Linked DNA regions of Ovis aries. The protein of the gene in region 1 interacts with the protein of each later gene in a biochemical or structural test. Links are inferred from orthologs where the notes say so. Each region holds a gene or a part of one and is shown on either strand. Other genes may lie near its edges. The genes, in order: CARD11 and PRKCQ.

Evidence for each region.
Region 2: of the proteins of CARD11 (region 1) and PRKCQ, one has a biochemical effect on the other in vitro, tested with the Homo sapiens proteins (2 studies listed by BioGRID). The link is inferred for Ovis aries from reciprocal best matches to the Homo sapiens genes CARD11 and PRKCQ.

Annotation. Positions count from the first base shown.
Region 1 is NC_056077.1:40,873,186-40,876,997, forward strand, and holds part of CARD11 (caspase recruitment domain-containing protein 11), read left to right. Parts: intron 1-1,220; coding exon 1,221-1,400; intron 1,401-2,278; coding exon 2,279-2,431; intron 2,432-2,884; coding exon 2,885-3,010; intron 3,011-3,587; coding exon 3,588-3,785; intron 3,786-3,812. UniProt on the Homo sapiens protein: Adapter protein that plays a key role in adaptive immune response by transducing the activation of NF-kappa-B downstream of T-cell receptor (TCR) and B-cell receptor (BCR) engagement.
Region 2 is NC_056066.1:11,293,295-11,297,106, reverse strand, and holds part of PRKCQ (protein kinase C theta type), read left to right. Parts: intron 1-2,558; coding exon 2,559-2,721; intron 2,722-3,812. UniProt on the Homo sapiens protein: Calcium-independent, phospholipid- and diacylglycerol (DAG)-dependent serine/threonine-protein kinase that mediates non-redundant functions in T-cell receptor (TCR) signaling, including T-cells activation, proliferation, differentiation and survival, by mediating activation of multiple transcription factors such as NF-kappa-B, JUN, NFATC1 and NFATC2.

The DNA.
Region 1 (3,812 bases):
AGAACAGGGCCACTTAGGTTCATCTTCCAAGATGGTGAGGATTTTTTATTTTATTTTTTGCATGACCAGGAGGAAAGGTTTCCATGTTGTTTTTATCTAGGATTTGAGGATGTGGTCGAGATTTAAAACTTGCTCTCTCTTAGGACTGTTTTTATGTTTTCCTGATTATAGAGGAATGGCGAGAAAGCATCTCAGAACTTAAAAGAACTTTTCTCTTTGGTTGAAAGAATATCTGGCCTGCTGAGTCCTAGGCCATTTCTCAGGCCACAGGGGTGCAGCTGGGGTCCCCTCCTGGCTAAAGCCACCACCCTCTACCTGCTGGATTTCTAGAGGTGTTCTCCCCAAAAGCCTAGAACTGAGAAAGGACACTCGCCCCTTGGAGATCTCTTCCTTGTTGCATGTAAAAGCAGTCTTCTTACTAGGTGTTCGGCCAACGATGATCCCTTTGGGGAAGCAAACAAACACAGTCACAGGGGTTTAAGTCTTCTCCTGGCCCCAGTTCCTGACACGCACTTCTTGAGGGTGAAGCTCAGCACATCGCCAGTTGTCAAAGTCCCAAGAATAGTAACTGCCTCCTCCAGGAAGGCTGTCTTTCTTACACTAAGTCTGGGCAGGTCCTTTAGGCCAAACATCCTGCCAACCTGCAGTCCAATGAGTCTCAAGCTGTTCTTTTACAGTGGTGCCATTTTTTCAAATAAAATCTTGGATGAAACCCACGAGGCCAAATCACATGCAGGCAGAGCTGTGCTGGGGCGTGAAGTCAAGATAGAGCCCGAATTCCCCTCCCCTCCATCTCTGCCCCCTTCTGAAACACTAGGGTTCTTCAGGAATCTTGTCTTTTGAGGATCAGAGTTAGAAACCTATCAGAAAAGACCTTTAAAATGGAAAGGGTGCCTCAGGGAAACACCAGCTTGGGAACCTCTCATCCTAACCTGTAACCTGTTCCACCTGCATGAAGATTGCCCGAGGAGGTTTTCTGAGGACCAAAGCTGCCCAAGCACTGTTCTGAACTAACAGACCAGGACCTCTTCCTCAGCAAGGAGGGAGTGGTCGTTTCACTGAAGGAGAACCTTTCAGATCTTCTGGCCACCAGCTGGAGGAGGAGAGAGGGGCAGAACACGGCTCCTGCCAGAAGTCCAGCAAGCTGTGGGGAGGCAGTCCCTTCTCTGAATGTTCCCCTGCAACCTCGCTCTCCCCTTGGCCCCCCGGGGATGTTTCAGATAGACCAGCTAAAGCATCGGCTGAACAAGATGGAGGAGGAATGCAAGCTGGAGAGGAACCAGTCGCTGAAACTGAAGAACGACATTGAGAACCGGCCCAAGAAGGAGCAGGTCCTGGAGCTGGAGCGGGAGAACGAGATGCTGAAGACCAAGATCCAGGAGCTGCAGTCCATCATCCAGGTGAGGGCGGGGGCCGCACGCCTGCCAGGGCGCCCCTTGCCGGCCGCGGGACCACAGGGAGCTCACGTCATCATCCTTGGGCACCTTGGTTCCTCCTCTGTCGGCAGGGGTGACCGCACCACCCACTTCTCAGACATCACGTGAGGTAACGCTTGTGACGTTGTTTCCTTGGTTGAACCATTTCACGAAAATCAGTGTACTGGGCACTATGAGGAAAGTACTTCGGGGAAAAGCTTCTTGCCTTAAAGATTCCAAGAAACTCAGCTCTCAGCTGTGAGGGATTTGTTAAAGCTTCGAGGGCCTCCCCTTCTTTATCATCACAGAGTCATCTGTGGGTACAGAGGCAAAACATCCGCAGATCCATGTGCAGGGGAGGAAGGAGGGCACCCGCGCCCTCCCCCAGAAAGAATGGTGCCCCCCAGGATCATTGCCGCCTGGTGTGGAAGGCCCTGGTTCAGAGCAGAGACTGGGTCCCGGTTTAATCAGAGCAGATTAATTGATGTTTCAGGGGAGGCATCTGCAAGGCAGCTCAGCCCCGTCTTTGTTGTCACCTGTGAAATGTGCGGAGAAGCTGCACAGCTGCCTCTCTGGGCTCTGATAAGAGCCAGGGCAGAACAGTAGGCATCGGGATGTTTCTGAGCAGAAGTGGGTTTTATGCTTCTTTCCAGGTGATAAAATTCATAAGTAATAAGCCGCTTAAGGGCCCCAAGAGACAGCGACTCTTGCCCCTGCTTCTCTGGCACAAAGCCTTCCGCTCACTGCATGTCTGTCGCTGGCGCTTCTGTCTGCCGCCTTCCTGGGCCTCCTTGCTCCCTGCCCCGCACCCCCAGCCCCGTTAAACTTTTCCCCACACACACACCACCCCCCCACCCGCCCAGGCTGGGAAGCGCAGCCTGCCAGACTCCGACAAGGCCATCCTGGACATCCTGGAGCACGACCGCAAGGAGGCCCTGGAGGACCGGCAGGAGCTCGTCAACAAGATCTACAACCTGCAGGAGGAGGTCCGCCAGGCGGAGGAGCTGAGGGACAAGGTGGGCCTCGGACGGCCGGGGCTGCCGCCCGGCGGGGGCCCGGGGCTAGGTGTCCGGGGCTGTCTGTGGAGCCTCTGGGCCCCCACTCTCTCCCAGGACCAAGTCTGCGTCCTGGTGTGAGTCCCTGTGTGTCAGCACCCTGCCGTCACTGGTGGACCGTTCTAAGTGTCCGCGTGGCACTGGCCTTGCCCCCTGGCTGACCGCTGCGGCCACGGGAGGGCACACTCAGTGTCCACCCTGACCCCACTCCCCCCGCACATAGTAGGCCTGCCTCAGGTCGCAGCTGGTGGCTGGCCTTTTACCACAGTCCCTTCGCGTCAGAGCGCTGACTCTCAGAAGGCCAGGCGCCATGGGGAGGGGCAGGCCGGCCCTGGGAAGCCGCGGCTGGCAGCCAGCTGTCGGGCCTGGTTGGTCGCTGGCTTGATGCGAGCATTCTCTCTCCTGTGCTCGCAGTACCTGGAGGAGAAGGAGGACCTGGAGCTGAAGTGCTCCACGCTGGGGAAGGACTGTGAGATGTTCAAGCACCGCATGAACACTGTCATGCTGCAGCTCGAGGAGGTGGAGCGGGAGCGGGACCAGGTACCCGGCGGCTGGCCCAGGCTCCAGGCCATGGGGGCGGCGGGGTGTTGTCGGGGTAACGCCGTCAGCTCTGCGGGAACCACCTAGGACCCCACCTTCCTGCTTTCCTTCCAAAAATGAATCCCGTCCCGGCTGTGTCACTGGTGTTTAAAAAGCAGGGCTGGGGCCTGAATGGGACGCCAGTGTCCTGGGCCTCGAAGCCGGATGGCCAGGTCCAGGCCCTGTCCCTCTTCAGACGTGTGGCTGCACGCTGCCCCTGCCTGGAAGCCTCAGTGCTCCCGTCTGTGGAGTGGGAATAGAACAGCCGCACCACCTCGTAGGGTAGCGGGTGGGCTCTGCCTTGGACCTCTTAGCCCAGCAGTGGGCGCACAGCTGGGGTGAACTCACGAGGGGCTGTAACACGTGCAGAGGACGGTAGCAGTGGAAACGCCCAAGCGTCAGATTCAGGGAGAGGGCCGGAGACGCTGTGGCTGACACGTGGGCTGGGGAGGGCAGGCGTCCTGGGTCTGATTTTGGGGGGATCGGGGGGGCGGGGTGGGGAAGAACCCAGCGACCTTGTCCTCCGCCTCCCGGGCAGGCCTTCCACTCCCGGGACGAAGCGCAGACCCAGTACTCCCAGTGCCTGATCGAAAAGGACAAGTACCGGAAGCAGATCCGGGAGCTGGAGGAGAAGAATGACGAGATGCGCATCGAGCTGGTGCGGCGGGAGGCCTGCATCGTCAACCTGGAGAGCAAGCTGCGGCGCCTCTCCAAGGACAGCGGCACCCTCGAGCAGGTGGGCTGGGGGCGGGCCCCCCTGCGC
Region 2 (3,812 bases), on another chromosome or scaffold:
AGGGGTGACATCTCATAATTCTTTATACTGTCCTGCATAGCAGTTCACTCATAGCTCTCCAGGAAGTGTGTGACTTAATTGACTAAAAGCAAGTGATTGGTTAAACAAATAGATTAGGCACCATTGCTATAAAATAAATAACCAACTATATAAAGATCAGTGAGCTTATTCAAGCCAATGTACAAACGGAAGGCCAAATTACTTCAGAAATAAACAGTAATTACAAGGAGAATTTTTAAAATTCTGAGCTTTTATACATTTACTTTCTTATAAGGATTGAAATGATCAGAGGATAAAGGAATTATAGCAAGGAGCAAGGGAATGAATTACTTACCTGCAGTCTCTGACATATTTTTAAATGTACAGTGTTCTAATACACAGACTATTTTATATTTATAAACATATAGTTGTATATAGTCCGGACTATTATAATAGCTTTACTGACTATTCAGTCAGTAAAGAATCTGCTTAGGTTCGATTCCTGGATCGGGAAGATCTCCTAGAGAAGGAAATGGCAACCCATGCCAGTATTCTTGCCTGGAGAATCCCACGAACAGAGGAGCCTGGTGGTCTGTAGTCCTTGGGGTCAGGAGAGTCAGACACAACTTAGCAACTAAACCACCACCATGTAATTGTTACATGGTTATATTTGTATATTTTTCACAGTATTATGGATAGAGTTCCCAGAATAATTCACCTCCCTCCCTGAGTTCGAAAGTAATTTTATGCTTTATTTCCTTTTATTTCATCAGCACCAAAATAGAAATGAATCAGAGCTTCCCGACAAATGGCCTCCTGTGCCGGTCCCGAGTTGTAAATAGATCTCTACACTTAAACCAGAGCCTATAGGAGAAGGCAGTTGCCTCGGTGACCCTAAATCTAACCCCGAATTCACCAAGCCTTTTTATTTCCAGCACAGTTCCTTTAAAAAAAAAAAAGACCTAAATCGCCTATCCTTTAAGTATCAGGCAAAGTCCTCAGCCGTGTAAGGAAGTCTTTCTTAGGGATGCTTGATTATTATCTTCCTTGGAGTAGAGTTGAGTTACAATCCTGTGTTAGTTTCAGGTGTACAGCAGAGTGACGTTTTATCTGAGAGTTTGGGGTTTCCATAAAACAGACCCATGGACTCTTGGAGAGAAGACTTCAGTCTTGAAATGGGTGCTGGCACTAGGCTGGACGGTGGAGGAGGGTCTCCACCTCCGTGACCCTCCCCCGGCCCTGTCTACCCAGTGTGCTTCCAGCTTGGCCCTGAAAAGGGGTGGGGAAATTAAGATACTCCGGCAGGATCACTTGCCTCGAGTGTGTTGTCCAGCCACTGCCATGGCTTACCCGGAAGGGAAACAATTGGGTTTAAATATTGTTAACTCTCTTCATTTGTGAAACAGGAGCCCCTTATCCTTGCCAAACCTTCATTTTTTGTAATTTAAAAAATAAGTAGACTAAGTAATCCAAGAATCTACTTGGAATCGCAGTTGCAGGAACTGAATCATCAATTCGTTATCCGTATTTTAGTGATGACGGCAGCTGTGTTCCGCCTCCTTTACCATGCACTCTCCCATGCACGCTGGAGGGCCCATCGTACTGGTCAATCATAACTACCTTGCTATTGTGTGTTTTGGCTGGGGGACCTGGGCTTCGGCCAGGGCGAATATTCTCACCGGTATTTCTCAGACTTCTTCCAGCCTTTTGGAAGCTGTGGGTACTGTGGACAGTTACTACTCAGAGTACCTTCACCAGCACCCAGAGCCCATGGTAAACTGAAGAAATGTGAACGTGATTTGATGTAGATGACTAGGTACCAGCCAGGATTATCTAGACACTTTTTAATTACAGTCATCCGTTCCTTTCCGGCCCTTTCCACATTGACCTGTATAGTTTTATGGCTGGTGCATCTGATTCCCATTGGCTTCAGGAACCAAAGCATAAACAACTTCCCAAAGCTTTTTTGCCTTCAGAAATCTGGCCAGCTCCTGCCTGTCTACATTTTTTGTCTATAAACAACCAGATATAAAATTTTCTGGGACCTAAAAAATATATATATATAGTTTCCAACTTACTGTTCAGTACCACATTATTCTTTAGAATTACAGGCAAAGTATTTGCCACTTCCTGCCTTTTCTGGCTGACTCATCACTGACAGTGACAAGGAAAGGTCAATAAATACCTTAAATGTTCCAATTTCTGGTTTTAAAAATTGAGAGAGGATATAGCTCAGTGTCGTGAAAGAGGATGGAAGGATTGAGCCAAGATTCCAGCCTTGTTGTTCCAATCCTGGAACAGGACACCATCTGATAATTCTGTTATGGGACTAAGGAAAGACACTTCGTACTGTACCAAACTTCAGAAATACTGGGTTGGCCAAAATGTCCATAACATCTTTTAGAAAAAACCCAAATAGGCGTTTAGCCCAACCCAGTACTTGGGATGCTAATGGTCTCAAAGCTTGTCTAGGTCCTCATCCATCTCTGCCCCTTCCCCGTTTCCCACCCCTGCGCTGCTCACCCCCAGCTGTGACAGCCATTTCGCAGAAGGTCACCGTCCCTGCCCTCTTCCTGCAGACACAAAGGACATGAACGAATTCGAGACCGATGGCTTCTTTGCTCTACATCACCGCCGAGGAGCCATCAAGCAGGCCAAAGTCCACCACGTCAAGTGCCATGAGTTCACGGCCACCTTCTTCCCACAGCCCACGTTTTGCTCCGTCTGCCATGAATTTGTCTGGTATGGTAACTCGCGTGTGACGCCAAGCTTCAGGTTATGCCTTGTGTCACTTCTTTTGTTTGTTTATTTATTTGGCTGTGTTGGGTCTTAGTTATGGCACACAGGTTTCAGAGCACAGGCTTAGTTGTTCTGAGGCCTGTGGGATCTTAGACCCCTGAGCAAGGACTGAACGCCTGTCCCCTGCATTGCATGGCAGATTCTTAAACCCTGAACCACCGGGGAAGTCCCATGATGCATCTTCTTAATCCACCAGGCCTGGCATGTTCCACCTTGCGGGAGTGTACGGGAATAGGTACTACCTGAGAATTTCCAGTGGCCTCACCTGGATTGAGAAGGCTCAAATGATGTGATTCTAGAGAATATTTTCATAATAGAGCTCCTATAGCATGAGGAATCCAGCTCCCTTAAGAAAGATTTCAAGGAAACTCTGGTTTCCAATTACATGGGAAGCTTCTAGGGGTGAGTGGGGAGGGACAGAAGAGGGAGAGATCTTTATTGTAAGCAGAGTTTCATAGTCAAAACTGCCACCAGCTCGACAACCCAACTGTGCTAACTAAATGTCTGCAGAAGGCAACACTTACCCATTGGAGCTGATGGGTTTCTGTGTTTACAAGGCTCTTGGGTGTCTTAAACAGCCCCCGAACAGAGATTGGTTCAAGCCTCAGTAACCACAGCAGCGAAGGCTACGGTAGACTGGAGACTCAGAATGACTCCTATCTCTTGTTTCAGCCTCCCCCACTCTTTTGGGGTCTTCAGTCCTTTGGGTTCTTGCAGGATTTGTTAATGCACAACCTCTGGCTTAACCAGGGTATCCAGAGGTCGGGTAGACTTTTGGTGGATTTCCATCGACTGTCTTCCTCTAATGACTTGAGCTCCTTCCTATCTAATAGTGAATGTGAACAGAATCAGTCTTAAGGTTGAGAATTTATTAGCTGCAAATGTTCTCAGATACTCAGAAAGAGGAAATAAAGTGTTATATGGATCTCTTTGCTTATCTGAACTGAACTTAGTAAGACAGTGAAAAATTTTAAGTGTCGACATGGAAATTTGCCAGCAGGAGCCTGTGATCCATTTCTGGTGGGACATTTTTT